2 linked regions of the Neurospora crassa OR74A genome follow. The protein of the gene in region 1 purifies or fractionates together with the protein of each later gene. This does not show direct contact. Links are inferred from orthologs where the notes say so. Each region holds a gene or a part of one and is shown on either strand. Other genes may lie near its edges.

Region 1 (4,527 bases):
AGCTCGTTCATTCTCGTCTCGGGGTTCTTGTCGTTTTCCATGTTCGTGTCTCCGTCTTTTGACTGCTGTTGCTGTCGTTGGCCCCGAATAACCAGAAACTGTCGCCATTGATCGTCCGTCATGTTGGGCGGCTTGGTGTTGCCTGTCAGGTCTGGATCTGACTTTTCGAGCTCCCGGGAGAGCCAGTTGGTGTAGGTGGCGAAGACGGAGCAGGTTTGCATTAGTTTGGAGTGGATCTGGGGGGGTTTGTTAGTTAGTTTGTATTATTCGGAATACCTAGGGTAGGAGGTAAGGGGGGGGGACAAGACATACTCGTAACAACTTGCTGTTGGTCAACATGCATTCCTTCAAGCAAGTGTCGAGGAAATCCACGTGTTCCTGCATAAGCCCATCGACGGTATGAGGCTTCTTGGCAGATGATGCCCTTGGCGTAGAGGTACCGTCTTGTGTAGTCACACCCGCGCAGTTGTTCTCAATCTCCCGGAGCGTGTTCATGAGCTTCTGCCAGTTCGGCTCGATTACCTCGGCAGTGCAAAAATAAAGCAGCTGCTGAACGAATACAAGCATACGAGCTCGGAGTGTCCATACCCTTCGCTTCCAGATCTCCAGCATGCGGTTGGATGAACGGTGTGTCCAGGCCGTGCCGCTTGCGTGAGTATACCATGTGACCGATAGTTGGGTCTCGAGGTAACGCAGTGACAAAAGGTAGCGGAACAAGGCCTGATAACGCCAAATGGTCTTCCTGCTAATAACAAGAGACACCGGGAAGGGAACAGTATAGTCGAGCTGGAGCGAGGTAAATCCAGTGGCGTTTTTGTCGCCTTCCAACGGTTGGTTTGATGTAAGCTGAAGCGCCTCGCCTTGCTCAATACCGGTAATGTTAACGACCCGCTGAAGCGATTTGAGTAGCGTAACCTCGTTCATCTCCACCTTGACATCCTCCTTGAACTTGTCCAGACAGACTATGCTTCCCGGTTGTCGTAGGACTAAATCGAGCAAAGACTGGAGCTTGCCAGTGTTCACCACCTTGACGGGCTTTCGTAATTCGGACGTTCCTAGTTCCAAAAAGTAGTTGAAGTAATCCGAAGGGTCCAGGAAAAAGTAGTGTTTTAACGATCGTAGTCTCGCCGGCAACTCGTGTGTGGTAAGAAGCAATTGCATTAGCGATCCGTTGGCATGAGCGTAGGCGCTGCTGATGTTCTCCAGAAACCTATTGTCGTCGAACGAGTTTGGTACGTCCTGCATCTTGCGACTAACATCGACGCCTCCGCACTCTCGGACAACATTCAGGTATTTGCCAGCCAGCAAGACCTTGTCTTTGACGGCCTCCAGTTGAGGTGGCACGTCGTGATCTCGTATCGTGTATCGCCTCTCCCAGTATTCGTCGGTATAATCCTGCTCTAATCGTTCCCTGCGAATACTCTTTTGTTCTTTGATCAGAAACTCGGAATGTGGGTCGTTGATGCTTCCATGGTGCAACCACTCGTTCAACATGGCCATGTATGGTCGGCTTGCGTCCCGTAGCAGAGTTGTGAGGAGTACTCTGGCGGACGGGTCTCCCGATAGCGACTCCAGTCTCTTGGTGATCAGCCCCAATACCACGCCTCCCTTGCATATCTTTTTGCCCGTCATATTCCCCGGCACAAGATCACCGCCGTCTCTGAGCTGCTCGATGATGTGATCGAAGTCGTCGTCGGAACTATCGCTCGATTCGTCCGAGTCGTCATCCAGAAGCGCATTGCGCTTTAGCAGCTCCAGCGCCAAGCCATACATGTGAGCCATCAGATGGCTGCTGGGAAGGATATGCACGTTGAGTTGCTGTAATGTAAAGTTCTCGTCGTTGAGAAACTGTGTCTCCAGCTGGACAACCATGACCAGATACTCGTGCAAATACCTCCGGATCGAGGCGCACAAGGCGTGGTTGACGGCACCGAATTCTTCGCGACTCTGAACATCAACAAACGTCTCCAGCGCCGTGTAGTGAGAAGCCATGCGCAGCATGGATTGTGTAAGGTCCAGCAAGCTGGGATCCAGCCCAGATAGGATGCGCCATTGTGGCCCAGACAAGCGGTCTCGTTCCTCGTAGGGATTGTAGCCTTTTGCGAATCGGATGTACTGTCCCTCGAAGCCCATAAACACGAAGAGCAGGTCCTCGATCATGGCAGCCTCTTGCGCATTGAGGGACAGCTCGGCAAGCGGTCGCGGCTGTAGTGTCTGAGGCGCGGACGAAGCAACGGGCGGTATCGAGACTCGCGAAGCTAAAGGGGCTGACGTGTGAGGGAGTAGGGTAGCGGCGGGTTCCCAAGGGGCTGGCGGTGGTGGTTGTGGTTGTTGTTCAGCAGCGCGGCTGTCTCCTCTTGGCCGCCTTGACTCGACATTCCGTGATCTGGACTTGAGGGTGTCGCTACCAGCGCTGAGGGGGTCGGCGTTCCGGCCGGATCGAGCCATGGCAGGATCGCGTGTGGTCACCTGGACTTTGGCTGGGCGGCGGTCATTGACGAGGGTTCTGCTGGTGGGACGTGTCTGTGAGGTGGATTGGGTCGGGGCTAGGGTGGCCGATGATCCCATTGCGGAGGTGACTCTGGCGGCGCGGCGGTCGGGGAAGTGGGAGAAGGTTATGGATATGTTTGGCGGCTCGTGGCCATGTACAATGCCGTGGGCCGCTGGACTGGATCTGGGGTCGGGCGTGTCGGGCCTGGGTTTGGTGAAGGTTGACGGTCGGAGACCCGGTGATGTTGCCCCCTTCTAAGGGTACATTATCTTTGGACTTGTAGCTTGTCAGCCTAACGTATGTATTGTGACGGTCGAGCAGCGGTCGGGAAATCTGCCGGGTAACAACAACAGGGTTGTCCTGTGAGGAGACGTTGTTGGATATGGAAATGGAGGAGGAATTGCGAAGCCAAGAAGGTAGCAATCGCAGTCCAAAAGTGATGAGTGAGTGAGTGAGTGAGTGAGTGTGAGAGGATGCCGTCCCGTTGGATGTTGGAGTGTGTCGGCGGAATGGAGACCCGATGCCCGCTGGATGGAAGTGACGCGACCACCAACAATTAATTGGACGCGTTATCAGAGGGAGGAGGACCCGCCAAGCAAGCCGTCTCAGTGGATAGGTGATGCCCCAGCGGGCGGCTTCTACGGGCAGGGAGGGGCACCCGGGCCGCTAGGTCTGAGGGGTTCCCCTGGCCAGGCGCTGACAGTCGGGTTGCTAGGTGGGAACTGAAGGTAGACGGGAGGTACGTACCTGCAAGTACCTTTTGGGACACCTACCTAGGTACCTAGGGTACAGGGGATTGGCCGGCCCGCCTGGCAGAGGAGCTTCGTCGGCCTGTCGTGCCTGGAGCTCTTCCATTCCACTGAGGTGCTTGACGTCGGTCGGTCCCAGGCACCTCAGTTCAGGCCTTACGGCAGCTTGTTCCCATCCAAACCACCACGGCACAGCATCATCCAATCTCTCCCAAAACAAACAACATCACTCACCAGTCCTCGACTAAGAGACACCGACCCTCGACGCTAACACCATCTATCTCTTCGGCTATCACCAACCAACGCCCGGCGCATATAACCAGCAAAGCCAGGCTTACCTCCCGACAGCAATACTACATCCCGGACCCTTCTCCCCACTCGAGCTCCCCTCAACACCGTCAAAATGTTTATGGCAAGATCTGAATACGGTATGTCACTACCACCCCCCTCACTTGCTTTGCCCATGTCAAGCTTCAAGTGATGCCACCGGAGGGGACAAGCTACACCAGACAGCTACACCAGACATCATGGACTGACGGACGGCTAACATACTTGGGCGCATCATCTAGATCGGGGCATCAAGTAAGTGAACATACGAACGAACGACTTTTACGCTTGGCCACACCACCCTCTCTCTCTCTCTCTCCCATACTCCTCCAGCCACTACTCGATCGCATATCCCTCGATAACACCCTCTAACGAATACCGATAAAACACCACACAACCTGCCACAATACCTACATCCAAGTCACCCACCTATCTACCCAGTCCAACAAGGAAGACTAATAATCATGCCTACAGCACCTTCTCCCCCGAAGGCCGCCTCTTCCAAGTCGAGTACTCCCTCGAGGCCATCAAGCTCGGCTCCACCGCCATCGGCGTCGCCACCTCGGAGGGCGTCATTCTCGGCGTCGAGAAGCGCGTGACCTCGACCCTGCTCGAGACCTCGTCGGTCGAGAAGATTGTCGAGATCGACCGCCACATCGGGACCGCCATGTCCGGGCTGCAGGCCGATGCGCGCTCCATGATCGAGCACGCCCGCGTCGAGTGCCAGAGCCACGCCTTCAACTACAACGAGAAGCTGCGCGTCGAGAGCTGCACGCAGGCCATCTGCGACCTGGCCCTGCGCTTCGGCGAGAGCGCCGACGGCGAGGAGAGCATCATGTCCCGCCCCTTTGGCGTGGCGCTGCTGATTGCCGGCTACGATGAGGACGGCCCGAGTCTGTACCATGCCGAGCCGTCGGGAACGTTTTATCGCTATGATGCAAAGGCAATTGGAAGCGGTAG
Region 2 (4,537 bases), on another chromosome or scaffold:
AGAGCTAGCTTTCCATTGGTCAAGGCATGTTTTCTTCCTGGGGAAGTTGGAGCAACAGGGAAGCTCAAGGGACTTCTGGGAAGGACTCCTACTCCTCCCCTCCCGCGCTGGATGACCATGTCGTTTGAAATCCGTGCATCTCGAATTCTCGCGGTAATCTGCATTGAGCGCAGTGCATCTGATGTATTTTGCCAAATCTTGATGAGGTCATCTTCACCCTGAAGTGTTGGTAGGGAGATACGCCTATCACCGTCCTTGGGTTCCTGATTGAGACTAAAAGCAGTCAATGCCATCCCTGTCTCAATATTTTGTCTAAATACGCTAAGGAGTGCCAAGATGTGGTGATAGCTTCATCTGCATCTATATAGCTTCCTGCAGAGGACCATAACGATATTGATCGCAGCACCCACTGACAATGAAACACAACCAAGAAACAGAAAAAGTAAAAAAAAAAAAGTAAAAAAAAGAGAGAGGACAAGAGCTGGAATCGAACGGCTGACGTCACGTTCAACTGGAAGGGAGTAGAAGAGCCCTATTTTGCATAGCCGGAAGACGCCAGCTTACAGTGCTTCCAGGGAGGTTCTCCCCCGCCATTTAGGTCCCCGTTGGGTCACCTACGGCGGCGAGGGCCCCCCCCCCAGCATGTGGTGCACTACCCTCCTTGTGCAAAGAGAGCTCAGCGCACCACGCCGCTCGACCACGCAGCCACTTGTCAGTTGGTTGAGTACTTATCACCTTGGGGTCCTTTATGAAGCCCAAGCTGAGGTCGCGCGTGCATGCATTTTGGGGTTTGAAGACAAGTGGTATTTCCATAGCCTCAGTGGTCAAAGAGCTGCTGCAATCTATCGACAACATGCCAAACGATACAGAAAACGCGCGCCAACACCTTTCTCCTGGTTTTCCCTCCCGCCCAATAACGCCTGCGAACAACAATCTGGTCGTGATATCGCGTCAGCCTAGTTAAGAAAAAAAAAAAAAAGAAGAGAAAAAGAGGGATACCAGCTGTCTTTAAAGGATCCCAGGTATAGTCGCAAAACAAAAGGCCCCCAGCTGGCCATCATCTGTCCGGCTAAGACTCAAGCCATTCTCTTGTCCGTGTCAGCCGACGCGTTTTCGCCAAGCTCGGGGTTGAGATAATTGGCGTCTTCGGCAGCCTCGTAATCGGCAATAAGGTCCATGACGACCTCCCTGGCTTCGTCAAACTCGTTGAGGTTTTCAGAAAACGGCGCCGTCTTTTTGTAGGCTTCCATAAAGGCGTTGCGCTTCCGCATGCCATCGTACTGCCTAACGATACGCTTGAAGAGCTGTGTGAAGAAATGTCAGTTTGATCATCTATCTAGCCAACACAGCAGCAGTTGACATACCGTAGCAATACTAGTATGGTTTGCCAACATCAAACCACTGACACGATGTGCCATAGTCACGTAGGGACTCCTCTTGGTCAGTGCCACCTGGATGCTAGCGGGACCCCAAGGAATGAATGTAGCAAGACGACGTTCCCTAATACGGAGCAGACTCTTGTGCACATCGGTTGGGTCCACGTCGCCCTGGATGACGTTCAGGATGGAAATGTAGCAGCTCTTCTTGCCGGGTACAGTAGACACCATGCGATTCTTGGGCTGCAGCAATCGTCTCATGACGTCGAGAACCGTCGTTTTGCGCACCGTCTTTGCCTGCTCTACCTGGTCGCCAGTGAAGGGCGTGTACGACGTCATCAAGAAGTGGCATCGAGGAGTCGGAATCAAGGACGCGAGAATGCTGACCAGGTCGTTGTGCATGTAGCCGGGGTATCGAAGGGTGGTTGTGCTGGCGGACATGACGGTCGATACGAGCTGATTCGTCTGTTGGAAGGATGGCTCTTGTACGTGTAGTCTGTCGGCGGCAATGTGTGACAAGGCGCCGTTGTCAAGCACCACTACCGAGTCGGCGTTTTGCGTTAACCTCCTCATGGCAAGTAAACTGTTGTAGGGGTGCACGACAACATCGCCGGCGCTGGTCGTGTCGGGAAATACCGAATATGTCTGGATGATCTTCTTGGGGAAGCGGTCGTTCAGTCGCTCGAGTAGGAAAGAACCCAGGCCTGATCCTGTGCCGCCGGCGATGGAGTGTAACATCATGAAGCCCTCGAGGGAGTCGCTGCCGTCGGCTTCGCGCTCAATCATCTCCATGATCTCCTCATGTACCTGCTCGCCTGTTTGGTAACCATCACCCCAGTTGTTACCCGCACCAAGTCCGCTCTTGCCCACGTAGAAGTTTTCTGGGTTGTATATGTTCCGGTATGGTCCGGTCTGGATGGTATTGATGACTCTGGGTTCGAGATCGATCAGGATGGACCGGGGAATGTATCGCGTATCGTCGCTCTGGTAAAAGAAGACATCTTTACGGTCGCCGCCTTCGGTCGCAAAGTCCTCGATGGTTCCGTCCTGGCTGATGCCATGCTCCAGACAAAGCTGCTGCCAGAACTGGCTTCCGACTTGAGAATGTTAGCAGAAACTGCGCGTCCAGCTGCCGGATGTCGAGGCGCAAGACTGGGTGAAGGTCGACTGCCTCCTCGTCGGGTTGAATTGGGCACTCACTGCTGTTGCCGCACTGGCCGGCCTGGATGGTTATTATTTCTCTGTTTGCCGGTTAGTCACGATATGTTGGGTGCTGGGATGAGGGACGCGTACCTGGGCATGGTGGTGGCATTAACGAGGCGCGAGACCTCCAGGCGGAAATTGTTGCAATTGGGACAAAAGCGGAGGGAACATCGGTAAACATATGGAAGGACGTCAGCAGAGCACGCCCGGTAGTTCCCCACATTGGATTGCAGCACGTTGCCCACCACTACTACGCTAAGATTCCCGCGTCGACGCGACAGAAACGGGAGGAGATGGAACCCAGGTAGCTGCCGTGCCCCTGCGAACGCTACAAGGGACGGGAAATCACCAAACGCTACCTACCTCTACCTACAGTGACGCCCGCTGTCAGCTGCTAGCAGCATGATCGGAGAGGGGCACCTAACCTGGGCCGGTAGAGGTACCTCTCTCTACCAGAGACATCCAATGATCCATCGTCTCCATCCACCTATCTCGTGGCTGGCTCCCGTCGGCTGGATCTAGCAGTTCCAGGACCCGGGATTGCTAACCCTGTCGGGTATAGCTTCTGTAATTCGTTAAGGGCCGTCCATGCCTGCATGTCCAAGCACCCCAACCTAAAATGACAAAACCCCATTTTCCAGCAGGGCAGTCCAGGTGCGACGGGGGGCTCCTTCAGCGCCTTTCCACTTGGTTACTGTAGCGGAGCATTGCGCTACCTAGGTAAGTACCTTGCAACGTGACGGGACGGGATCCTTCGTCTCACCACTTTGACAAACACCCGACACACGCAGGCAGGCGTCTTGCACGTTTTACCCCTCCACATGACGGGGAACGTTGACGTAGAAGAAAGGTGACGGTCAAGAGATCAGGCAGAACTCTGAGGTGGAGAGAGTAGTTGACCGAATAATGAAAAAAACAAATTATTCCAGGTTGCTCTTGGTTCTCTCATTCCAACCTTACTACGCAGGTACAACGGACAGTTACCGTACCGGACGATACAGGTAGTAACAGTAACAGTAACAGTAACAGTAACAGACGGGCGCGGCCAATAAACAACAACTTCCAAGTTTGACCTCTCTCCTGCCCCTTTTCGCGTCTACCTTTTCCTTGTACGGGGATGCCCGCTGTGTACTAGTAAGTAGAGTACTACTACTCTAACAGTTTACACCTTGCTTCAATCTCCAACGTCACCTCATCTTGCTTTCTCTACACTACTTCGACCTCCCCCTAAAACCGACTGTATCTGCGAACTTCCACCTTGGGAGGTACTTCATACTGTTCAAGGTAGCCACGCCACCGTCTCCATCTTCTTTCACCGACCTTGTTGGCCCGATTGGAACCACTCTGCCGCTCTTTTCCCGGTCGTTGGCTCGTTCCGATTAGCAATTCCCATTATTCAAAAAGTTGACCGCCGTCTTCGAGCCCCTGGAGAGTCAACCCGCTTTCCACGAGCGTGACCATTTCTACCGTTACTTGTGAGCCGCGGCATGTTTCGCTACCGAGGATCCTACCCCTTCTTCTCTCAAGATACTGTCCACATCTCCCAGCATCAAGGACAACAACAGCAACAGCAACAGCAACAGCATACTTCACCAGTCCCCCGGTAGGCTGACCAACCGTCAACCGCCCATCGTCTGCCATGGCCGACCCGACCCGATCCAGTTCGGCCAGTCTGCCTGTGCCAACACAGTCGCGCAAAGAGAGTGTTCTGCAATCAGGGACCCTCGAGGAACTACCGACAATCACTCAGGCCCAAGTGTTTGGCGTTCCGTCGCCCATCGGCTCCGACCAGTTCGACTTCGCCACTAAGGCGAGCTCTCCGAAGACACCGAGAGCTAACGAAAGCCCGTCCGCCTCGGACTACCTAAACGGAGGCCAGCCACACAACGACGGTGTCTCCCCTGTACCCGATCAAGACCCACCCGCCTGGCTGCCGCTCCAAGATGTCAACGAAACCA

What was found.
Region 2: the proteins of NCU05296 (region 1) and tbg purify together in Schizosaccharomyces pombe (affinity purification with western blotting; 3 studies listed by BioGRID, with this or other methods). This does not show direct contact. The link is inferred for Neurospora crassa OR74A from reciprocal best matches to the Schizosaccharomyces pombe genes alp4 and gtb1.

What each region holds. Positions count from the first base shown.
Region 1 is NC_026504.1:5,425,319-5,429,845, forward strand, and holds the start of NCU05296 (spindle pole body component 97), read right to left. Parts: upstream 3,012-4,527; 5' UTR 2,569-3,011; coding exon 313-2,568; intron 237-312; coding exon 1-236. Other genes in the region: pca-5 (proteasome component PUP2), read left to right, coding at 3,644-3,668, 3,810-3,822, 4,042-4,527. UniProt on the Schizosaccharomyces pombe protein: Component of the gamma tubule complex that is required for the regulation of both interphase microtubules and mitotic bipolar spindles.
Region 2 is NC_026506.1:2,228,050-2,232,586, forward strand, and holds tbg (tubulin gamma chain), read right to left. Parts: upstream 2,825-4,537; 5' UTR 2,678-2,824; coding exon 2,670-2,677; intron 2,618-2,669; coding exon 2,577-2,617; intron 2,474-2,576; coding exon 1,365-2,473; intron 1,305-1,364; coding exon 1,077-1,304; 3' UTR 340-1,076; downstream 1-339. Other genes in the region: NCU03955 (phospholipase D1), read left to right, coding at 4,219-4,537. UniProt on the Schizosaccharomyces pombe protein: Tubulin is the major constituent of microtubules. The gamma chain is found at microtubule organizing centers (MTOC) such as the spindle poles or the centrosome, suggesting that it is involved in the minus-end nucleation of microtubule assembly.